2 linked regions of the Rhinolophus ferrumequinum genome follow. The protein of the gene in region 1 purifies or fractionates together with the protein of each later gene. This does not show direct contact. Links are inferred from orthologs where the notes say so. Each region holds a gene or a part of one and is shown in the gene's direction. Other genes may lie near its edges.

Evidence for each region.
Region 2: the proteins of SAE1 (region 1) and SUMO3 purify together in Homo sapiens (affinity purification with mass spectrometry; 3 studies listed by BioGRID and IntAct, with this or other methods). This does not show direct contact. The link is inferred for Rhinolophus ferrumequinum from reciprocal best matches to the Homo sapiens genes SAE1 and SUMO3.

What each region holds. Positions count from the first base shown.
Region 1 is NC_046298.1:43,150,350-43,163,099, forward strand, and holds the start of SAE1 (SUMO-activating enzyme subunit 1), read left to right. Parts: upstream 1-6,825; 5' UTR 6,826-6,928; coding exon 6,929-7,026; intron 7,027-12,750. UniProt on the Homo sapiens protein: The heterodimer acts as an E1 ligase for SUMO1, SUMO2, SUMO3, and probably SUMO4. It mediates ATP-dependent activation of SUMO proteins followed by formation of a thioester bond between a SUMO protein and a conserved active site cysteine residue on UBA2/SAE2.
Region 2 is NC_046285.1:107,875,610-107,888,064, reverse strand, and holds the start of SUMO3 (small ubiquitin-related modifier 3), read left to right. Parts: upstream 1-6,753; 5' UTR 6,754-6,969; coding exon 6,970-6,990; intron 6,991-11,901; coding exon 11,902-12,030; intron 12,031-12,455. UniProt on the Homo sapiens protein: Ubiquitin-like protein which can be covalently attached to target lysines either as a monomer or as a lysine-linked polymer. Does not seem to be involved in protein degradation and may function as an antagonist of ubiquitin in the degradation process.

The sequences.
Region 1 (12,750 bases):
AGTCTCTGGAGGAGGGACCAGGGCACCATATTTGCTGAAAAGCTCTCTAGGTAATTCTAATCTTCAGGTGGGATTGAGAACCAGTGACTTGGTTAATGGTGAGCAGGCACCTGGGTGCAGCTAATTAATTATGTAATCCTTAAACCCAGGAGCCTGATCTACTACATAACTGCTCTCCACCCCTTTTAAGTTACAAAGTTTCACTTTGGGCAGCTGTTCTAATTAGATGTTGTTGAAAAACTAACTGCCCCATGGGTAAATAAATACCTAGGAGAACTGAATGCAGGGTCTCAAAGAGACACTGCTATACCCATCTTCATAGCAGCATTATTCATCATCGTCAAAAAGCCCCAAGTGAGGGGGTCCCAATAAGACCCAAGTGTCTTATTGATAGATGAGTGGATAAACAAAATGAGGTATATACTTACAATGGAATATATGCAGCCTTAAAGAGGAAGGCAATTCTGACACATGCTACACGTAGATGACACTTGTGGACATTATGCTAAGTGAATGAAATAAGCCAGTCACAAAAAGACAAATATTGTATGATTTCACTTATGTAAAATATCTAGAATAGGCAATCTCATAGAAACAGAAGTAAAATGGTGATTGCCAGGGGCTGGATGGAGAGAGAAAAGGGAAGGTGTTTTCTTTTTCGTTCTTTTTTTTCTTCAGTAATGGGTAAGATAGTACATTTTATGTTATGCGTATTTTACCACAATTTAAAAAATGCTCTGAAATTTAGTGGCTTGAAGCAGCAATCATTTCCCTTTTTTCCTATAATCTTTTAAAATTTTCATTAAATTTATTGGGGGAACATTGGTTAATAACATTACATACATTTTGGATGTATAACTTTATAACATGACATCTCTATACTGTATTGTGTACTTACTACCTGAAGAGTAGTCTCCTTCTATCACCATGTATTTGACCCCCTCATTTCGTTATCTTTCACAGTACCTGTGGGTCAGGAAGGCTTGGCTGTCTGATTCTGGCCTGGGATTTCTGTGGTTGCATACCACGTGTCTAGAAATGGAATAGTGGAAGGCTTGAAAGCTGGGGGCTGAGTTGGCATCTCTTTCTCTTTGTGTAATTTCAGGGCTTCTCCATGTGGTTTCTGCTCATGGGTTGGGCTTCCTCTCAACCTGCAGTCTCAGGGTAATGGGACTGCTTATCTGATTTATCAGGGCTCAAACTCAAGTGTTCCCATGCACAGGGTGAAAGTGACCTCCCCTTTCCTGATTTAGCTTGGCAGTAAAGCAATGTCCCTTCTGCCACATTCTATTGGTCAGTCACCAAAGCCAGAATAGTTTCAAGGGAAATGAACGTCCCTCAATGGGAGCAGTGTCAAAGGGATGTTGCAAAAAGGGCATGTAGGGGTGGCCAGATGGCTCAGTTGGTTAGAGAAGAGCTGTGCTCTTAACAACAAAGTTGCCAGTTGGATCCCCACAGGGGCCACTGTGAGATGCGCCCTCACAACTAGATTGAAACAATTACTTAACTTGGAGCTAATAGGTCCTGGAAAAACATACTTAAACAAATAAAAGTTTGTGGGGTTTTTTTGTTTTTTTTAAAGAGCATGTAGGTTGAGAGACACTGTTGTAGCCATCTTTGCAAAATGCAATCAGCCATAGGGAAGGTCAAAAGAATTAAGTAAATCCCCTTGTTGCCATAATTATTTCCTTAGTTGGCATCATTTTACCCTGGGAATATTTGGAGTTAAATATAGAAATGTTCATGTGACTCAAACCTCTGGAATTAATGTTTTGGTTTAAGGAATTTGTGCATATTTGGCTTTTTATATGGTGGAAATATTTAAGAAAATCTGGCCTACTGGGGTTTCCTGGTGAGATTTGTAGTTCTGAAAACTTTTCCCTGTAATGAATCTGGATAAATGATATATGACTATTCACTGGACTATTTCTTTTGTTTAAGCTTGATCTTCAAGATAAAATTTTTTTATAAAATAAAATAAAAATTACCAACCCATTCTCATTCTGTCGCTGAACTTCCACCCATCAGGACCCTCATCTCATCCTCTGGAATAGGATAAGGAGTAAGATCACAGTTGAAGGCTGGATTGGGGGTCAGGAAAGCAGTTAGGAAAGGTCCTTTCCTAGGGAGTCAAGTAATTTTGGAAGAAACATTACAAATTTATAGAGGCAGGTATGTGCTTCTCAAACTTGCCCATTTCAAAAAGAGCTTCAAATCATTCTATTGTTGTTTTTTTCCCCTTCTTCCGCCTCCCACGGCCCCAGTTCAAGCCGTTGTTTCTCAGTCTAACTGTGTAGGACACAGCTCCCTGGAGCATGCTGGTATTACGAACCTTGTGCTCCCCCTGGCTGAGGCAGTTGGTAGGCCGGCCGCTCCCAGCAGCTCTTCTCAGCTGCCGGCCGCTCATGATGGCTGCTGGCCACTCACGCTGGCCACTGGCCACTCCTGGCAACGCAAGGCAGCCCTGCTCCAGGGACAGCTGTTGTTCACAATCTTAGCTGTAGAGGGCGCAGCTTACTGGCCCATGTAGGAATCGAAACTGCAACGTGGGTGTTAGGAGCACAGCGCTCCAACCACCTGAGCCACCCGGCTAGCCCTCAAATCATTCTAAGCAAAGTGATGCTTATTCTGGAAGAGTTGACTTGTATCTTTAGTTGTCAGGATCCTGAATTTTTTATGTTTTCTATTTACTTCAAAGTACAGTGGTCACTTTGTACAGTGGTCACATTGTAAGTTGTAATTAACAAATAGATTTAAATGCTTTTTAAAAAGACCAAAGAACCTTCCTGCCATCGCGTTCAGACCTAGCTGCTCCAACCTCCAGGGCACGTCCCATCCTTCCAGCCCGCGACCAGCAGCAGAGCAAAAACAATTACATATTTTCTTGCCCCGTACACACCTTGAGGTGAGAAAAAAAAAATTAAATTTGAACCATGAGGGAAATCGTGCACATCCAGGCCGGCCAGTGTGGCAACCACATCGGTGCTAAGTTCTGGGAGGTGATCAGTGATGAACATGGCGTCGACCCCACTGGCACTTACCACAGCAACAGTGACCTGCAGCTGGATCGCATCTCCATGTATTACAATGAAACCACAAGTGGAAAGTATGTTCCTCGTGTGATCTTGGTGGATCTAGAACCCAGGACGATGGACTCTGTTCGCTCAGGTCCTTTTGGCCAGATCTTCAGACCAGACAACTTTGTTTTTGGTCAATCTGGGGCAGGCAACAACTGGGCCAAAGGCCACTATACAGAGGGGGCTGAGCTGGCTGACTCGGTCCTGGACGTGGTGCGGGAGGAGGCTGAGAGCTGTGACTGCCTGCAGGGCTTCCAGCTGACCATTCACTGGGCGGGACCACAGGCTCTGGAACGGGCACGCGGCGCAGCAGCAAGATCCGGGAAGAGTATCCCGACCACATCATGAACACCTTCAGTGTGGTGCCCTCGCCCAAGGTGTCCGACACAGTGGTCGAGCCCTACAACGCCACCCTCTCCGTCCATCAGTTGGTAGAGAATATTGATGAGACCTATTCACACATTGTAATCAATTCGATGCACTGATAACAAGGCCCTTTACGACATCTGCTTCCGCACCCTCAAGCTGACCATACCAACGTATGGGGACCTGAACCACCTGTCTCAGCCACCATGAGTGGTGTGATCACCTGCCTCCGCTTCCCTCGCCAGCTCAATGCTGACCTCCGCAAGCTTGCAGTCAACATGGTGCCCTTCCCACACCTCCACTTCTTCATGCCTGGCTTTGCCCCTCTAACCAGCCGTGGAAGCCAGCAGTATCGGGTCCTCACTGTGCCCGAATTCATCCAGCAGGTATTCGATGCCAAGAACATGATGGCTGCCTGTGACCCCCGCCATGGCCGGTACCTCACCGTGGCTGCTGTCTTCCGTGGGTGGATGTCCATGAAGGAGGTGGACGAGCGGATGCTCAACATGCAGAACGAGAACAGCAGCTACTTCGTGGAGTGGATCCTCAACAATGTGAAGACGGCCGTGTGCGACATCCCACCCCGCGGCCTGAGGATGGCGGTCACCTTCATTGGCAACAGCACGGCCATCCAGGAGCTGTTCCAGCACATCTCGGAGCGGTTCACGGCCATGTTCCGGCACAAGGCCTTCCTGCACTGGTACACGGGCGAGGGCATGGATGAGATGGAGTTCACCAAGGCAGAGAGCAACATGAACGACCTGGTGTCCGAGTACCAGCAGTACCAGAATGCCACCGCGGAAGAGAAGGAGGATTTTGGTAAGGAGGCCGAAGAGGAGGCCTAAGGCCAAGCCCTGTCGTCACTCAGGCGTCTTAGTTCCTTCATTCAGCCTTGTTCCTTATCTGCCCCTCTACTCTCCCTCAGACTTTGCATTTTCTGCCTCTTTTTTCTTTGGGGGTGGTGGTTCTAGAACAGTGTCTGGCACATAAATGGGCGCTCAATGAATATTGTCTCTTTCCACTCTGGGAAATCGAGATTCCTTTCATTTTGAGTAATCTTGCATTTCCTTCTGGTGTCCATTCCTCCCATCTGTCCAGTTAATATTTCCCTCTCTGTTTTGAAGATAATTCTCCAAGAAGCTGGGTCTCATCCAAATCCTGTTTAGAACCATGTGCTGAAAACCCAGATGGATGACCACCATCCTAAGCCCATGTGGTAGCCAAGGGGAAAGGACACCACCCTAACTAGTAGGGAGAGGTCCCTACAGGAAGGGGTAGGGCTTCCCATTCTAGAGTAGTTTGGGAGTGGGATCCAGGCTATTAAAGTCCTAGTTTCCAGGTATTTCCCTGCTCCTCTCTCAGCTTTGGGGGAGGTGTTAACAGTATTGTGTCCATTTTCAGTCTCCCTCCCAGCTCCATCCTGAGCTGTTTCCTTTGTAGGGATCTGCCCCACTCTGTCCAGTGGGATCCTTCCCTCTTCCATTTAACCTCCCTCTCACATTGGATCCCTTCCTTTCTCTGGTTGGAAAAGGGGGTTAAGGGGAAAGGGACCAGTCACTTTGGTCCCTAAGCCTCCAGACAGGCCCTCCACATCCCCACTTTTTCTTACCCCCCAAAAATACCAGTCTTGCTGTATGTGTGTGGAAAGGTATGTACTGCCACCTAAATGTTTGAATCATTCCCCAGAAGGGATGGAACAGGACACCATCTTCTGGCAACATCTCATCTTTTGCTATTGCCATTCCCCCCTACCCCTGGCTTTGTCCTACCCTACACTTCAAATTTCTATTTTGTGTTGAATTTGCTTTTTTTCATATTGAAAAAAAATGACATTGTCCCAAGAACCAAAAATAAATGGGAATTGAAAAAAAAAGGGGGGTGGGTGGGAGGTGGGAGATGAGGGTAAGGGGGATCCAATATATGGTGATGGAAGGAGAACTGACTCCAGGTGGTGAACACACAATGGGATGGGATTTATAGAAGATGTAATACAGAATTGTACACCTGAAATCTATGTAATTTTACTAACAATTGTCACCCCAATAAATTTAAAAAAAGGGAAAAAAAAGACCAAAACAACAAAAAAGAAAAAAGTAAAACAAAGAAAAAACACAAATCCACTTACATGCAGATTTTTTAAATAAATACTGTAAATATATTTTATCTTCTTTATAATTTTCTTAATAACATTTTCTTTTCTTTAGCTTACTTTATTGTAAGAATACATTATATAATACACATAACATACAAAATATGTGTTAATCAACTGTTTTATGTTATCAATTGGGCTTCCAGTCAAAAGTAGGCTATTAGTAGTCAAGTTTTTGGGGAATCAAGTTATATGTGGATTTTCAACTGGGCTGGGGCGAGGGGGTTAGTGCTTCTAACCCCCATATTGTTCAAGGGTCAAGTGTATATTTAAATTTAAAAAGAATTCATAATCTGGTTTCTTGATTAATGCCTTTGTCCCCTTCACCACAGCTCAGCCTTCACTTTTCTTCATTCTTCACGTCTCTACTTGTTCATTACCTCCTCTGAGAAATCTTCCCCAACCCCACAGTACAAAATACTCCCCCCAGAGTTTATGTAAGAGACTAAATTCAGAAAGATGGAGAATGTCAGCACGGAAAGGGAAAAAAGTCAGGGAGAGAACGAGTTGGGGTCAGGCAAAGGGCGGCTGGAGGAGAGACAGGAGAGGGGAAAGTGTGAGGAGAGAGTTGTGGGGGGAAGAATATTTAGGTTATCCAATGCTACGTAATATGTGATCCCAAAACTTGGTGGCATAAATCAACAGCAATCATTTGTTTTGCTTACAGATCAGCACTTTGAGCAGGGCTTGGCAAGAATGCCTTGTCTCTCCTCCATCTGGGGTGACTTGACCCTCTGCCAAAGGATCCACTTCTAAGATGACTCATTCACATAGCCAGCAAGTTGGTGTTGGCTGTTGGCTGCAGCTGTTGACCTGGCTGAGAGTCAGGAGCTTTGGTGCCTTTCCATGTGGACCTCTCCTTGGGCTGTTTTGGCTTCTGCTAGCATGGAAGCTGGGGTTAAGAGCAAGTGTCCCAAGAGATAGAAAGTGGAAGCTGTCCGTGAGGTCAGGACTTTGACTATTTTATTCACCACTTTATTTCACAACATCCTCAATGCCAGGTTTGCAGCACGCACTCCATAAATACGTGTTGAATGAATAGCCTCATAAACAACCACTTGGGTATCCTCGTGGGGGCCACAGACCGCGCCATTTTTTAGTCAGGATTGGCTGGAGTCTCCGTCACGTGACTAGCAGTCACTGGCCCGCCTTTGAGCCTGGGGAGGTCCACTTGGTCTGTCCGAGGATCTATGGGCTGGCTGGCCCGCGGAGGAGCTACTGCGCAGTCGCGGTTCCTGGCGCAGGCGCAGACGCTGCTGGCGGCGGTTGGAGAGGAGCGGGCCGGCGGGCGGTTGGCGTGAGCAGAAGCGGAGCGCAGGCAGTGAGAGCCGGCGCCATGGTGGAGAAGGAGGAGACAGGCGGCGGAATCAGCGAGGAGGAGGCGGCGCAGTATGACCGGCAGATTCGTCTCTGGGGATTGGAGGCCCAGAAACGGTCAGGGCCGGTGCGGCTTGTGGGGCTGAGGGGCTAGAGCGGTCGTCTGGCCTGAGGCGTTAGCCGCCCTCAGGGAGCGAGGGGGTCTGATTTGAAGAGAGGAGGCGGGAATTCTGTTCCCGGGGGTGGTAGCCCACCTGCGAGGACTGGAAGGGTTGATTTGGGATGTTTCTAGAAGGTATTGCAAGCGGGGACGTCCCAGGGTGGTGAGAGGGCCGTTCGGAGTGATTGGAGGCCTGTGAGAGGGGGCGGGGTGGGGAGTCCTAAGGGATCAGGAGGATTCAAACTCGGGGACTCGGAAGCCCGAATGGGGTGATGGTGGGGTTCAGGTCGGGGCGGGGGGTTAGGGAATAGGAAGGGCCAGGAAAGCCTGGCAGGGATGAAGCGGGGCGGGAGGGCGGGGGCGTAGTTCATTCATTCCTAGAAGGTGGGGACCTGTTCTCCGCCGGATGCTGGGGAGACTGCCGAACCGAACATGTGAGCTTCCTTTCTCGTAGCTTCTGAGCGGTGGGTGGGCCAATCTGAAAGAATGAGGGTTTTGAGGAGTTTGGTGGCAAGTTATTTCTAGGGGGAGTCTTGAGAGGCTTGGAGCGTCTCGGGCGGATGGAGATGCCTTAGGTTGCTGTGTCTAGGTTTGGGGGGGTGTCCAGAGAGGACAGGTTTGGCATACCTGGGGCATTGAGGAGTAGTTATCCAAGGGGATGGCGTCTTTTAAAGAGGTGATTGGTCTGATCAAATATTTATCGAGCACCTGTCTCAAGCATTGTTTTAGGCGCAGCATATATCCCTGAACTAAGCAGACTCCTTACGCACATGGAACTTACATTCTGGTGTTGGAGGCAAACATAAATAATATGTTAAGTAATGCAAGTGTAAGGGAGAAAAAGCAGGATAAGAGGGTCAAGAAAGGATGGTGAAGTGGAGAACTATTTTGATATGGGGTGGCAGGGAAGGCCTCTGAAGAGGTAACACTGTGTCTCAGACCTGTATGAGGGGAAAAAGCCGTCTAGAAGAAAGTCTGCAGTAGAGAACAGCACGTGTAAAATCCTAAAATCCTGGAGGCCAGCGCAGACTTGGGAAATGACAGGAACAGGGTGGCTGGAACCAAATAAGTGGAGGAGTCGCTTTTTTCTTTTTTATTGTAAGTGTGCTGGAAAACCTGTTGGAGAGTTTTGAGTAGGAGTAACATGATCCGATTTGTGTTTTAAAAAGGATCACTTGCTGTGTGGAGAATAGGTTGAAGTGGACAGAAGTGGAAATAAAGATTCCGGTTAGGGCACTACTGCAGTAATTACTGCAATAATCCACTTGAGACATAAGTAATGGGGTTTGGAGCTCTAGAGAAGGGACCAAATATGTATTCTGGATATATTTTGAAGGTAGAGGGGACAGCATTTGCTGAAGGAGTCTGTGTGGGGTATGAAAAGGGGAACTCAAGGATGACTGACTGGGCCTGAAGACATAGGTGGGGTGGACTGATTTTAGGGGCTGCTGTTTGAAGGAACGGGAGTGTTTAGGGCTCCTAAATGCATTAGAAAGGTTGATCCAAGGGATTGGGGATAGCAGGTAGTTTTGTTTGAGGTGGGGTAAAGTTGGTGAGGGTTAAATAGCAATGTAATAAGGGAACTGTCAGAGAGATAGGTATGATTCATCTGAGGAGCAATAAGGAATGGGTGGGGGCTTCTGAGGAGCAGGTGACGTAAGGGGCAAATCAAAGTCAGGGTATGGAATTCTTGGGAGGCCGGAGTTACTCTGAGGTAGTGGAGATGTACTGAACTCTGAGAACCTGGAAAAGATTGGCCGAGGATCCTGGAAGGGAAGGAAAGTGTTCTCTACAACTTGGAATCTATATTTGTAGACAGTCTGACAGTGTCAGTGTTCCCATGTCCATTTTTCAACTGAGTCTCACAACAGCTCTCTGGAGTAGGAAGGGCAGTGATTTCCTCCCCTGTATAGACAGGAAGGAGGTTCCACAAAGCAGATTGAAGGTAGAGGGACAGTTCCCTTGCTTCTAAGGGGACTCCAGGTGTGATAGAAGAACTCTGGGGGCTACTAGGATTCCTTTTGAAATGGGAGGTGGCAGACTGCATTCTGGCTACGGTTTTGCCTCTGTGATGTTGGACCAATGTTGTCAGAACTGGAAGGGAGATTAATAATAGTAAAAAGGGCCTTCCCAGGGAAACTCATACAGTCTAGAGGTTAAAAACTGGCCTGTATCTCATACAGTGTTTTACATTTTTTGAAATTCCTTGCCAGCTTAAAAACCTAGAGAATTGGGGGCTGCCTGTTAGCTCAGTTGGTTAGAGCTGGTTAGAGCGCAGTGCTCTTAACAACAGTGTTTCCGGTTTGATTCCCACATGGGCCACTGTGAGCTGCACCCTCCACAATTAGATTGAAACAACTACTTGACTTGGAGCTGATGGGTCCCAGAAAAACACTTAAAATAAGTAAAAATTAAAAAAAAATTAAAAAAATAAAAATCTAGAGAACTGGCCAGATTAGGGACAGTTTGAGCATCAGAAAGAATAAACTCAACTTCCTTTAATGATATTTAATGACTTAGAACCCATGAAGCCAAGGTAATATTCAAACAAAAGAAAAATAAAAACTCATTTGTCTCTTGGAGGTGATTATTAATAATGTGCCTTCTGATGTGGTGAAATAAGAACTTCAGTGCAGCATCTTTGACATTTTCCTGCTGAATATCTATCTTTTACTCTAAACATGCTTTCAGAGAACAGAAGAACAAATTAAAGGACACCATTGAGGTACTGATAAGATGTCCAGAATATGAAACTTCACAAGACAACTGTATTAGTTCTATTCCAGAAGTCAGTGTCATGGAAAAGAACAAATGAAGGGACTGTTCTAGATTAAGAATAAAGAGGTGGAGCCAAATGCAAGATATGAACCTTGACTGGATTCGGATTCAAGAAGAAAACTTCTACAAAAACATCTTTCAGACAATAGGGGAAATTTGAATACTCAGCCCTGTTCGATGATACGTGGGGATTATTTTCTAGATATACCGTAATAGTATGGTTATGAAGGAGAATGTCATATTTTTGGAGATACACGCTAAAGGCATGAAATGCCATGGTATAGGTTTGTGGGTAAGTCAGTAGGGCAAAATGTTAACTATTTCTACTTTTCTGTATGCTTGAAAGTTTTTGTAATGAGAAGTTCCCCCACCTGGAAGTTTCACATAGAGTTTCTGATTTCTGTCTTTTGAAAAATAGAAAGGTCAGACAACCACACATTACTTGGAGCTAAGTAGGGGCTGCCTCTTTTATGCAGAGCATGGGTTCTCTGCCATTGTCTCCATCAGTTCAGCTTCACGCATTGATATAGCAGGTATGATAAAAAAATACGGTGAATGTTTAAATATACGAACATTATTACAGTAAAAGATACATTGCCATTAATCACCCTCAAAACACACCCCCTCGCTTTGAACACACTTATTCCATTGTTCTCGCCACTTTCTGAAGCAGTTCTGGAAGTCTTTTTTCATGAATGTCTTTAGTTGCGCTGCTGTGTCTGCCTTGATGTCCTGAATCGATTCAAAACATGTACCTTTCACGGTCATTTTGACTTTGGGGAAGAGCCAGAAGTCGCATGGTGCCAGATCCTGTAAATAAGGTGGATGAGGACACACTGTAATATTTTTATTTGACAGAAATTGCCGTACCAGAAGCGATATGTGATACAGCATTGTCATGATGGAGGATGAAACCATTTGCCCATTTTTCAGGCTGTTTTCTTGCACATGGCTTCTTTTTTCTTTTTTTTTAAAGATTTTATTGGGGAACAGTGTGTACTTCCAGGACTTTTTTTCCAAGTCAAGTTGTTGTCCTTTCAGTCTTAGTTGTGGAGGGCGCAGCTCAGCTCCAGGTCCAGTTGCCGTTGCTAGTTGCAGGGTGTGCTGCCCCACCATCCCTTGCGGGAGTCGAGGAATCCAACTGGCAATCTTGTGGTTGAGAGGACGCGCTCCAACCAACTGAGCCATCCGGGAGCTCAGTGGCAGCTCAGCTCAAGGTGCCGTGTTCAATCTTAGTTGTAGGGGGCGGAGCCCACCATCCCTTGTGGGACTCGAGGAGTTGAACTGGCAACCTTGTGGTTGAGAGCCCCCTGGCCCATGTGGGAATCGAACCGGCAGCCTTCGGAGTTAGGAGCACAGAGCTCTAACTGCCTGAGCCACCGGGCCGGCCCCTTACTGTAATAATTTTTAAAAATTTAAACATTCACTGTGTTTTTTGATCACACCTCATCATTGCCCGGCCCCTGTGAGAATGTGAATTTGCATCTCTTGCTGTGGTGCAGAGCTTGTTTTATGGATGAGGTTCAGAGACAGGAGCAAACTCTCCTGAGGTCACACACCAAATAAATAGGATTAGGACTGGATTCATAGTCACTAACTTCAGGTTCACTGCTATTTCCACGGCAGCTCCGTTTTCCACCACAGGGGCTCATTCTTTCAGTCCAGTTAACATAGAGGCGAGTGTTGAAGTTGGCAGTTGTGTATGTCCTCAGACTGTGTGCTTCGGCAGGTTTTGCACTGCCTCTCACAACAAAGGTGTGTCTGATTTTTCTTCCACTCAACAATAATGTATCCCATATCTGAAAGAGGAAGGAAGAGTCACTAGAAAGAGGGAAGCAGATTATAAGCTCCATGAGGGTAAGCAGTTTAAAAATATCCAATAATTAAGATGTGGGTTTTGACTGGTCTCTTCAGTTTCCAGTGCTTGCAAGTGTATAGACATTTAGAAATTTGTTGAGTGAATGAAATGATTGTACATTGCAAAGACCTAGGAAGACCAAACACCTAGGTTCAATTCCCAGCTCTGCTAACTAGCTCTCTGCTCTTGGGTGAATCGCACATGCCTTAGGTTCCACATCTGCAAAAAGAAGAGGTAAATGTGAATAAATCTTTCAAGGACTCCTCCAACTCTGAAATTTTGACTTTACAAAAAAGCTGCTACAAAATCTCTATTGTTAGGCTTTCGTTACCCAATACTGCTGGCCGTTCACAAGACTTCAGCGGTTATATAGGCTCATATTTGTCATTAAAGTGACTGAGCATGTGCTTGGGGGCCTGTCCTGGTTCGTTTAAGGACCAATTTCTCCTACGTAGTGGTTGGTAGTGGTGAATAGTTGAGTTTGACTCTCAACTCCAGAACTTGTTATTTATTTAACCTTGGATACATTTCTCAGCTTCTCTGTGCTTCAGTTTTCTCATTTATCAAATGGAGATAATAGAATCTCCTTTATAAGATTGTGGAGCACTAAATGGGATAATGCATGAGTAGTGTCCATTCAGTGAATGAGAGCTACAATTATTTGACAAGTATGAATCTCCTGCAGTAAAGGAAGGGAAACGTCATAGGACGTAGTTTGAGATATGTAAGCAGATGTCAGGCAGGAGTCAGGGGGCTCCAGAAGGAGGCGGAGGACGGTGGGAGTTGCAATTGGCCCAAGCAGGTCACAGTGGGGAGCGGTATTTTGGATTCTGACAAGACATTTAAGTAATACAGTGAATGGGCAGATGGATGGAACAGTAATGTAGATTTAAACGAAAAGTACTGTACTGTTAAGTGAAGAAGAGACTATTCCTAGAAGGAGAAAGTGGTCAATTCTGCGCAATGCTGATGGCCCCACCGTGTGTCCTGTGGCACAGACCAGAAACCTTGTTCTTTTGTTCATCGCTGTCTCTTATGCTCACAT
Region 2 (12,455 bases), on another chromosome or scaffold:
ATCAAATAACAGCGTTGCCATTTTTGCTTTTTCAGCATCTTTCCAAAATCATGAGGGCCACCTCTAGTTACTCAAAGGGTCTCGGGGACTCATGTTCAGAGGGCAGTTGGCGGGAGGCTGCCCTGTTTCCACTCAGGTGCCAGCAGGGCCCCGGCCAAGGAACGGCACGGCATGGTATGTAGAGTCATCAGCTCAGCATAAAGAAGAGTTAACTCTTGTCAATGTAAAGGGAGGTTAACCCACATGAAGAATAGTTAACCAGGCATAAAGATAGTTAACCAGGCTTAAAGATAGTTAACCAGGCATAAAGATAGTTAACCAGGCATAAAGATAGTTAACCAGGCATAAAGATAGTTAACCCCTCGCTGCAGAGGATTGCTAACTGGGTGACTGATGGGAGAGCAGGCTGCAAGGGCACCAGCTGCCATCCAGAGGGGGTTGGATGATTGACACCCAGGACCTGAGAGGCGGGCCCCGCCCCGACAGGAGGCAGTGCTGTGGGAGGGGGTTGGATGATTGACACCCAATACCTGAGAGGCGGGCCCCGCCCTGGCGGGAGGCAGCGCTGTCCTGAGCTGGCTCGGAAGCCTTAGGAAGGGATTTTTACGAGCGGAAACCACCGTAGGGCGGGAGCATGAGGTTAGATGACTTGCAACGGAGACCCGGGCCCATTTCCCAAGAGGGTTGCCAGGGCGCGCCCCCCCCCGCAAGTGGACACTGGCCTGGAGAGGTGGGGCCAGTGCAGAGACGCCTGCGTGCTCAGCCACAGGGCTGGGACGGGTGACTGAATTCCAGGGGCCCAGACACCATGATTAGGAGAGGCTGTTTCAGGGGACACGGGGAGCTCGGGGCTGTGCTCGGAAAGCACATGGTGCTGGGTTCCAGGATCAGAGCCCGCAGCCCAGATCTGGGGGCGGGGGGGACTGGCAATGCCAGCCTCCACACCTCCCCGGACAGTCTCCTCAGGCCCCAGGTGACCAACTCCACGCTCCTTACCAGCCGCACTTCCCCCTGACCCCATGTGTCCCACAGGCCTCTCACCACGGCCAGTCCGAGCCAGACCCTGTCACCCAGGCCCACGGTGTCCCTGTGCTGCCCCCCCCCCCAGGTCCATGCCGCACCCTCTCTGCCCCTCCCCAGACACCCAGCTCGGCTGGCCCTACTGCTATCTGCTGCCCCTTCTGCCCCGCAGCCTGTCCTCCTCCCTGGCCTGAGGGACCCCTTTACACTGCACTTTTCATGGTGCGGACCCACATAATCCCGACAGCTCCCACTGCACTTAGTTAGAAATAGGCCCTAGGCCTAAATTTCAGAAGAGGGCTGTGTAGCAAAGCAGCCCCCAAATGCCCAAGGAGCCAAGAGGACAAAGGGGGGCCAGACAAGTCCAGCTTGTGGGTTGTTCAGTTTAACAGGGAGAAAGTTAAGACAACATTGAGGGCCCCCTGCTGGAGAGAACTAAGGGAAATCCTGTGACCAGCCCAGAGCTGTGTGTACATAGCCAAGGTAGGGGAGAGTGTCGAGGGTCAAGGGTCAGGGATCCAGGCTTACCCAGACAGCAAGATGGCGGGTTAGCCTTAAGATGGAGTCACTCATGTCCTGCACTCAAGAAGGCCCCTTGGGCTCCTCCACTTGAATCTCCCTCTTGCAGCCACCAGCTCCCTCTCGGCTATGCTTGCTCCCTGGAGCACCTTCTTAGGCATCCTGGTAGCTCCTGTCCCTGCTCTCTCTCTGTTCAGGTGTGTGCATTTTCCCTGGCCACCTACCTGAAGAGCTCTCCTTTGATAGGACCTGTTTTCTAACTTAGATCTATTGTTCAGTTCTTCTGGCCACCTAATATAGCAGGGTTTAACCACAGAAGCAGAAGCAGTAGGGTATCTGTCTGTCTATCCATCCATCTACGCATCCATCCATCTACCCACTACCCCCCACTCATGTATCTATCCATCCATCCATCCATCATCCATCACGCATCCACCCATGCACACACCCACCATCCATCCATCCATCCATCCACAATCCATCCATCATCCATCCATCCATCCACAATCCATCCATCATCCATCCTTCCATCCATCCATCCATCCATCCATCCATCCACAATCCATCCATCATCCATCCTTCCATCCATCCATCCATCCATCCATCAGTCTACCCACCCACCCACGCACCCATCAATTTCACAAAGTCTTGCTGAGCTTGTAGCAGGTACTAGCACTGTCCTGGGGCACGAGACAGATAATGAACAAATAGATTGGCATATGCCATTTGAGGTAGTGAGTGAGCTTTCCAACACGTCAAGGTGGCTGGTGGGGAATACCTCAGAATTCCCTTTCTTGTGTGTTTCCAGTTGGGATGGGCCCAAGACAGGCTCCTGGGAGATTCTGGAGCACAGAAAGGTGGCAGCAGCCATTCTGCCTATTTACTGGGATACAGCAGCAAGCCAGGAGTGAGCAGTCAGCTCCATGACAAAGGGCCCTGCTTCTGCAGGACCCCCTTGTGGAAGAGGGCTGAGGCAACGAACGTGGAGGTGGCGCAGCCTCTGCTTGAGAGCCCTTGCAGCTCATGACCCTCCCTTCCTGTCTGCCCACCCTGCAGCTTGAAGCCCCAGCAACAGATGGGATGCCGTGGGACTTAACAGTCCCATGATTGTGGCAGCCAATGCCCTGTAATAGATGCATTGACGATGGATGGGTGGGTAGGTGGGTGGATGAATGCCCAGAAGACATTATTGTTGTTTTACAGAGTCATTATGCATTTAGATTTACCTACGTATGTATGCTTTTTGTTCTATTTCCATGTTTCCTTCTCTCTTTGTTCCCCATTGTATTAATATATCCATGCTTCCATCTGGGGTCAATTTCTCTCCGCAGGAAGATATTTCTTTGGTATTGCCTTTAGTGTATGCTTTCTGGCAATGAATTCTAGATGATTTGCTTTTTCTGAAATATCTTTATTTTACTTCTATTTTTATACAAAATTTTAATTGATATAGAACTCTATGTAGGTAGTTCTTCTCTTTCACCATTTGATAGATGCCATTCCATTGTCACCTGGCTTCAATGTCTCTGTTGCAAAGTGCGATGTGAGTCTTTTTGTTTTTCCTTAAAACAATGATATTCTCTTTGGTCTTCAGCAGGCTTACTGTCATATAGTTAGGTGTGGTTTCCTTTTTATTTCTCATTTGGGTTGGTAGTTTCTCTTTAATCTGTGGTGTGTTATCTGTGGTGAATTTTGAAAAATCCCCTTTTTTTATCTTTCAACTATTGCTTCTGGACTATTCTTTTTTCTTCTTCTGGAATTCCATTTTACAAATATGTTATGTATTTCCACTATATTTCATATATCTTTTACTATATTTTCCATACTTTTTTCTCTCTCTGCTTCTGTCTGAATATTTTCTTCTGAAAATATTCAGAAGAAATAAAATTTCTTCTGAATTTTATCTTCCAGTTCATAATCATCTCTCCCACTGTGTCTAATCTGTTGTTAAACCCATCTACCTAATTCGTAATTTCAATTATTGCATTTTTGTCTTCAAATTTATATTTGATTCTTTTTTTTTAATAGATTCTACTTCTCTGCTGAAAAATTTCATCTCATGTTTCCTTGAACATATTATTTAAAGTTACTTTAAAGTCTGTGTCTGATAATGCCAATATCCTGTTTTCCTGTGGATTTATTCTCTCTCTCTCTACACACACACACACACACACACACACACACACACACACATACACTTTTCTTGGTGTTGGATCATTTGTATTCTGGTTTTCTTTGTAAACTTTTATTCAATTCTGTATATTGCGTATGAAGCTATTTTAGTTAATTTGAGGCCTGAGATGATGTTTTCCTCCAGAGATTTCTTTTTGCTTCAGGCTGGCAATGAGAAGGAGAGATCAGCTTAGTCCAACTTGGGAGTGAGCTGTCTGGTGCTGGTTTCAGTCTTTGTGAGGATGTCAGCCTTACTACTTTGTTGTAGAGCTCAGTGCTCCAGCTCAAGGTCCAGGTTATTGATCAGAGTGCCCCCGACCCCCAGTTTATCATCCTGTTGGCCATGTCCAGTTATTGTCTCCCCCACCTAACAGACTCAAAAGCTCTGCTCTGTGTCTCAGCTTCTTGTCCACTGCATATATTATGGACTGCACTGTGCGTGTGTGTTTCTCTCCGTCCCCTCCCTCTTCCTGCCTCTCTCCCTCTCCCTCTCTCCATGCACACACAGAGAAAAGGCCATGTAAGAACACAGGGAGACGGTGACCATCTACAAGCAAAGGAGAGAGGCCTCGTCTAAAACCAACCCTGCTGGCACCTTGGTCTTGGACTTCCAGTCTCCAGAATTGTGAAAAAAAATGTCTGTTCTTTAAGCCACTCATTTTATGGTATGTTGTTACGATGGCCCAAACAGACTGATACATCATAGTAATCACCAAAGACCTCAAAGGGAAAAAAATCACTTTCTTGCTGGGATCTCTGCCCCTTAGAGAAAGTCTTCTCTGTTTTGGTAGCTATCTGATGTCTTCAAAGAGATTTTCAAAATATTTCATACAGATTTTATGGTTGTTCAAAACCATGATAATTTTATAATTTGTTTTTAAAAACTTATCATCTGAGCTTCTTTTCCTGTTACCAACTACTCTTTTCTTTACACATTTCTTTTAATAGTGACATAGCCTTTCGTTATGAATGGACCATAGTCTAATTTCTAATTGTAACATATTTAGATATTGTGTTTCATCAATTTTAAGTTAATGTATTTTTCACACTTTAAGTCTGAAAACAGGATGTGTCTTCCATCCATAACCTGTCATAGCTTAGTATGTATGTGACACATACAATGTTATGTTTTATCATTGATGCTGTCTTAGAGTTGATGATGGATCTGAACACTGCCTCCCTGAAATCACACACCACAGCCAACGATCTGGGGTGGGGGCAAGAGGCAGTCTGAGCCCCACTGTGCATCTCTGTACCGGAAGGGGCTGGTGCCGGAAGTCTCCCCTTTCCCGGAAGCACAGCTTGAGTGGGCTCTTCTACTTAGGGATCCTCTGGCAGAGGTGGGCCATGGGTCCAGGATGAAAGGGACCAAACTCTCGGTCCTGGCTGAGACAGGGGATTGACTCTGACCAGACCTTTCATGGAGAGATTTGGCGAATCTGTGATGTGGCAGCTCCATTTTGGATGCCCTGTTCCCCTCTCCTAAATGGTGCCTCTGGCCAAGAAGTGGATTTTTAAGAATCAGAGGTTTGTGAAATTAGAGTCCATGAAAACTTGGATCTATGGCTTTGTGATGTTAACAGGAAATGAGTGGAACCAGTGGCCTGGGCCTCACTCAGGCAGGATGGAAATGATCCCATCACAGGTTCAAATCCAGACCCTGCTCTTTCTTAGCTGTATCATCCTGGGCAGTCCACCCTCCCCCTAAACCTTCATTTCCTAATCGGTAAAATAGGGATCACAAGAGTCCCTGCTTCAAGGTGTTGTGAGGCTTGAGTGGGATGAGGTAAGCTTGGCACCAGGCTTGGCACACCCTGAGTAGTAGTAGATAAATGTCAGCCATCCCTGGTCCATTTCATCTGAGGGCATCAGGATTACAGACAGGGAGGACAGAGGAGGCAGGGCCTTCTAAGAATGTGTGCTCAAAGTACTGAAAGGACATCCTGACCATGGCCCCCGTTCTCCCCCATGTTTCCAGTGACTGCCTGAGCGCCCATTGTGGACCATCTTGGTGGGGTCTAGCCTTGGGTTTGCCCCAAGAGGCGGTAGAGCACACTGGTCACGCTCACTGACCAACTGCCAAGTGTTCAAATCCCAGTTGTACTGCTTACCAACTGTGGGACTTCAGGTGTGTAAATTGACCTCAGCACCTCAATTTCCTCATCTGTGAAATGGGTTGCTGTGAGGATTAGGTGCAGAGGGCTAGCGTCTGGCACAAGGTGTGCACTCCAGAAACGTTAGCAAAATGGTCACAAGAGGGCCTCCTACACCCCTCCCACCATCTCCCCCAGGTGGTCAGCTTCCAGTAGCCAGGTTCAGAAGCCCCAAAGGGGGACTAGACAAAGGGAGAAGAGGAAACGGCAGAGGAAGGCCTGGCTAAGGTCAGAGTGAGGCGTTGCCAGAGTAAGACATGCACATCCCTGTTTATGCCTCTGTCCACCTGCAGCTCTGGGTGAAGGAGATCAGACTTGAATTTGCGTGGGCTTCGAAATCAGCAAATACAGTGTCCTGAGTGGATGGAGCCTATGGAGGGTCGCCTTGGCCTGCCTTCTTGGTTCACCCAGCAGTTCTTCATGACCTGACATTTGGCTCCTGGGTGAAAGGGTCCCGAGCCTTTTCCAGGAGGGGCTCACCTCCGAGGCACCCCTCGCTCACCCAGGTCTCCTGTGGTCATTGGAGGTGGTTCACCAGACGGTCTTATTTTCCTTTTCCTTCGGAAAGGAGGAAATGAGTGGGTAGGCCTGGGCTTGGCTGGCTGAGTTACCTAAGTAGATGAGGGACCAGGTCTGTGGACCATGGCACTGAGGTGGCAGCCAGGCCCCGAGGTAACGCGCCAGGCCTTGTCTCTGACGCGGCACCTGGCCCGGCCTGATGGTCTAGGCTCTCAGTGCGCCCCTCTGGCCCCCCGCCCTCGCTGCCCTGAGCTCCCCGGAGGTGCCAGCGCGGCCCCCGAGCCCAGAGCCCTGAGCGTCCCCGGGAGGGGGGACCGCTGGGATCGCGCGAGGCCCCGCCCCGTGACGCATTCCTAACCGCCAAGAACCTCGGCCCCGCCGGGCGCGCGCTCGACGGCCCGGGCACGCGCGTCGTGCACGCGCGTCCACCACGTGATCTCGCCCCGGCCAACCAGCGCTCCGGGATTTGGGGGGCAAAGCGCGGCCCCGCGAGCATTTGCGGCGGGAGAGCGGCGGGCCGAGAGCGTGACTCGCCGGCTCCGGCGCTGTCTAATTCCCCGTTGCCGCCTCGCCGCCGTGCGCAGCCATGTCCGAGGAGAAGCCCAAGGTAAGAGCCGGTGGGCGCTGGCCGGCACCCGGGGTCAACCCCCGCCCGCGTGCCACCCGCCGTCCCCGCCGCACACCGCGCGCCCTCCGCGGCCGGGCTCTGCCTCGGGCCAGGAACGGCGGCACTGGCGGGGCCTCCCAGCGTTGGGCCTCCCGCCCCTCCCCCACTTTCTCCACCCCACCCCCACCTTTCCTCCACCCCTCCCCCCTTTGCCGCTGCGCTGCTCGGCTCCCCTCCCCCGCCCCCGTCCAGGCTCCGCCCTCTCGGCCCAGGCCGCGCCCCGCCCTCCGTCCAGGCTCCGCCCAAACTGCTCCGCGCCCCGCCCCCGCCCGACAGCTCCACCCTTACGAGTCCCGCTCCGCCTTCCACGCGCTGCGGGACTGCCCGGGCCCCTCCCCCGATGAGGCTCCGCCCTGCCCAGCGGGGAACCCCGCCTGGAGCTGACCTAGGGCCAAGAGCGGGACCTTGCGGCGCTGGGAGGTAGAGCGGGACTCTCCTTGCCCGGATTCCCAGTCTCTACTGCCCCTTCCCCGCTGGACCCTTTGCCGCATCCGGACCCTCTCTTCCGTGGAGTCCCCCGCCGGGGTACGCTCCACCGACATACCCTCTCTCCCACCGGAAACCCCCTCTTCCCGCTCACATCCAGTAGCGGGAATCTCGGACGCGGCCACCCGTCCGTTTCACGGAGAAACGCTCTCCTCCGTCCCCCGCGGGGATCCCTCCCCCGGAACACCCGTCCCCGGGGACCTCCTTCGTCGTGGAGGCCTCCCCCTAGTACACCCACGTCCTCGGAAAGCCCCGGCGCTGTCTGCTGAGGCCCCCGCCTAAGTCTTTACTGCAGGCCACTCCCGAGGGGCCCCGAGAGGCCTGGCCTGTCTGCGCGCCTTGCCAATCTTAAGCGGACAGCCCCTCCTGCCGCGTCCTCCGGTGCACCCACCCTCCCCGTCGCTGTCCTCTGGTGTGCGCCCACCCTCCCCGTCGCTGTCCTCTGGTGTGCGCCCACCCTCCCCGTCGCTGTCCTCTGGTGTGCGCCCACCCTCCCCGTCGCTGTCCTCTGGTGTGCGCCCACCCTCCCCGTCGCTGTCCTCTGGTGTGCGCCCACCCTCCCCGTCGCTGTCCTCTGGTGTGCGCCCACCCTCCCGGTCGCATCCTCTGGTGTGCGCCCACCCGTCCCCATGGCGCCCTCTAGTGTGCGCGCCTCCCAGGCGTTGGCCTCAGCCCTTCCAAAGGTAAGCGGGCACTACTATTTATTTAGTAGTGGGTTTAACTACTATTATTTAAAACATGTGTCTAAAGCTTTGCGTCTGCGCTGTTAGGGCCAGTTTCTTTTTACTAAGAGGAAGATCTGCCGTTGAGTCGAATGCCTTGCTCATAGGCTTCCTCTGATACCGCCCTGGAACTGGAGATTGCACCTTCTGCAGCCCAGACGGGAGCCCAGCACGTTCCCAGCAGCACAGAGGCTGTGGAAGCCTGCACTCTCCTGCCCTGCTTTGAGAAAAGGTTACACTCCAGGCAAACCTCTCTCCAGATGTGGTTGCAGCGGCCTTCACTTAGTACATTTTGGTTCTAAGCCTTTTCTTATCACTCCTCCCAGCCCAGATGATTTGTTCTGCCAAATATAAATGCCTCTATGGTTTTCTGGGTGGCCTCCACCTGTTCCTCATTTCTTCAGTGTGTTTAAACTTAGCCCTCCCATGGGGTCCACTTCCATGGTCCTTTAAGTTGAATAAACGTGTTTTACCTGTGTCCAAGACAACGGAATGTTTTGCGGTGCCCTGGGTGCATGCTGGGAGCACTCCGCTATGTGCCAGGAGAGGACGGTAGGAGGTGTGTTCCTAGACCATCATGCTGCGGGAGGAAACCCTTGGGGCTCAGCTGGGAAAGCAGCTTCTCTCCCCCCGGGGTGGCTGAGACGGGACAGACCACAGTGCATTGTGGTGGTTGTCATTAGGGTTATGGTTTTTTCCTTTACTGCTTGTTTGTTAGTAAGTCACGAGGGGTTTGGGGACAGGTACCTGGGACCTTTCCTGGCTACACCCACCCCTTGAGGGAGCTGGTGCTGCCATCGTCCCTGGGGACCCTCCGCCCCGTGTTTCTCTTTGTTTTGTGTTCCGTTCCCTGCTCCTGTTTTTTTGAATACTTCTGTATTTTTTCATTATAAAAGCAAATGCATCTTCTGTCCACATGCAAAAGAATGAAATTGGATCTTTTTAAATACCATGTACAAAAATTAAGGACCTAAATCAGTAACACTCTTAGGAGAAAACAGGACAAAAACTTTACAACATTGGACTTGGCGATGCTTTCTTGGAAGTGACGCCAAAGGCACAGGTAATACGAGAAAAAATAGACAAACTGGACTTCGTGAAAATTAAAAAAAATTTGTGCATCAAAGGACACTAGCAACAGAGTAAAAAGGCAACCTGGAGAAGAGGAGAAGATATTTGCAAATCATATGTCTGATGAGATATCTGGAATATATAGAGAACTCCTAAAACTCAACAACTAAGAACCCCATTCAAAAATGAGCAAAGGACTTGAGTAGACATTTCCCAAAAGAAGACATGCAAATGGCCAATAAGGACATGAGAAGACGCCCACCATCACCGGTCCCTGAGGAAATGCAAATCAAGACGTCACCCATCTGGATGGCCACTATCAGAAAAACAGAAAACAAGTGTTGGCCAGGAGTAGGGAAAAGGGAGCCATTGTGTACTGTTGGCAGGAATATAAGAAGGTGCAGCAGCTGTGAAAAACAGCTCCTCAAAACATTAAAAAGGGATTTACCATCAAACCCAGCAATCCTACTTCTGGGTATATACCCAAAATAACTGGAAGCAGGGTCTTGAGATATTTGCACCCCCATATTCATTGCAGCATTATTCACAAGAGCTAAAATGTGGAAGCCACCCAGGTGACTATCGACGGATACACATACTGTGGTCTATACACACAACAGAGTGTATTCTTCAGCCTTAGAAAGGAAGGACCTTCTGACACCTGCTACGACATGGATGAACCCGGAGCACGTGACGCTAGGTTCAATAAGCCAGGCAAAGAAAGATAGATTCCGTATAATCCCCTTATGTGAGATCCTAGAATAGTCAAAGTGAGAGAGACAAGGTAGGATGCTGGTGCCAGGGGCTGGAGGACAGGAGTTAGTGTTTAATGGCAACAGAGTTTCAGTTTTATACCATGAAAAGACTTCTGGAGGTGGATGCCACGTGGTGATGGTCGCACAACATTGTGAATGTACTTAATGCCAGTAAAAATGGTTAAAATGGTAAATTATACATTATGCGTATTTTAACACAATGAAAAAATTGAAAAAAAAATCCTATCTCTATATGCAATGTAGTCCCCTGGATTGGATCCTGGAACAGCAAATGGAAAGGAAACAGGACAATGGAAAAACTGGCGGATACCAGAAAAGCTTGAGGTTTCATTGCTAGTGATGGGCAGTGTTGGTTTCTTAGGCGTGACACGTCCCGCACGCCTGTGTGAGCTGTTCACATAAGGGAAAGCGTGTGAGGGGCACATAGGATCTCTCCACCTCTGCTGTGCAACTTTTCTGTAAATGTAAAATTCTAAAATAAAACATTTATTGGAATAAAAAGCAAATGCTTCCTTAGTCTCTAGGGAATGAAGTGGGTGCTCCTAGAGGGTCCCCCTAGCCCATTTGGCCTCGGGTCACTGAGTGCCCCCCACTTGTGGAGAGGGAGGGCGTGAGTGGTGCCTGTGCCCAGGTGCTGGGTGGGCTGCGGTGTGGCCAGTAAGTGCCACCCCAGGATGTCTTCCTTTAGGCTCCTTGCTGGGGTCTTGCCTCCTGGGACCACTTCTGGGGCCACTCCGAGCTCCCTGGTCAGAGCTGTGCCCCCACTTGGGATGTCCTGGAGCCAGCATGCAGGATGCAGCTGCCTGCCCCCCACTCCACCCCATCACCCCCTGTCCCCTTCTGTTAGGATGGCTGGGCACACAGGGAGGGGAACAAGGGACCCAGTTGTCCCAGCAGGATGGGCAGGGGAGCAGGTGTGGAATCCTGCAGGGCCCCTCTTTCGTCCTGGCCCTGAGCCCCTGATGTGGGGGGGTCAGGTCCTCCGGGGCTGCACTGACAAGTGACACATCAGGGAAAAGAGCATGTGTGGCAGCTGGAGAAAGTGCAGAATACACTTTGATTTCCATCAGAACTTTATTAGCAAATTGACTCGGGGTCAGCTTCATCATTTTGTTCAAAAATAAAGGACTCCTTTATTCCCAAACAGCCAGATAGATGAGGCGGCTCTGCCTGCAGGACCCTTGTGGGCGCGTCACACGCGGGTGCGTCACTCTGGTTCCTAGGAAATGCCTCAGACTGAGCCCCTGCTCCAGGACACGTGTGTTTCCAGGAGACAGGAAACCCGTGTGTGATTGTTGAGCATGCGTGTGTCAGGGATCATGTAAAGATAACATGTCCCCGCTCAGCTCAGATGGGACTGATGGAACGGGAACCTGCACAGGCGAGGGCTGGCTTCCCTCCCAGGGCTGTTGGCGTGTGCAGAGGAAAGGTGGCAGCCAGTGTATAAAACCTGACTGGGCAGGTCTGTCACATAGCACAGTGGTCCGGCTGCGCAGGCGTCATCTTATGACAGACATGGGCTTTCAGCTTTTTCCTAAATTTATTAAGAAGAATTTTTTCTTTGAATTAACTATGAACTCTGTAGATTGCATTCCTTCACGTGGATGCCTGATAAATATCAATAGAAGTTAGAAATAAATTCTTTGTAATAATAAAAGTCACACGAGTGACTGGATTGCTGGAGAATTTTAAGAGTTGGGTTGCTTTGAATGACTTGACGAAGAGCCCAGCAACCACCTAAAGTCTTGTGGTGATTTGAGACACAGTGTTGCGACCCCGTTTTGCGTCTTTTGCAGGAGGGCGTGAAGACGGAAAACGACCACATCAACCTGAAGGTGGCCGGGCAGGACGGCTCCGTGGTCCAGTTCAAAATCAAGAGACACACCCCGCTGAGCAAGCTGATGAAGGCCTACTGCGAGAGGCAGGTGCGCGTGCTGGCTGGGCGCCGCTCCTGGCGTCTCCGGGCTCCAGGGCGCCGTGGTCCCGGCAGTGGTCCCGGCAGTGCCGGTGTGCGCGGGGTGGGGGGGTGGCGGGGCATGTCTTCAGCCCCGTGTCTCCAGGTTGTGCCATTAGCTCTTGCTACAGCAGCCTGTCCACTGTCCTCCTCGGGAGGCGGCGGTCCCTGCAGTGGGGTCAGTGCATGACGGCTTCCCTCCTCGGGCTTGCAGAACGGTTCCATTTCTCCTTCATACTGTAGCCTGAACACGTCTGTGGGACACAGCCCTCGTCACAGTTTGGTTTCCAGAAAATGCCTGATTCTTTCCCTTTGTTCACCAGTTTTCACTAGCGTCCTCCCACAGTGACGAGTGGGTCGGACATTTTGAGTCGTCACTTGTTAGTAGTGTCACTG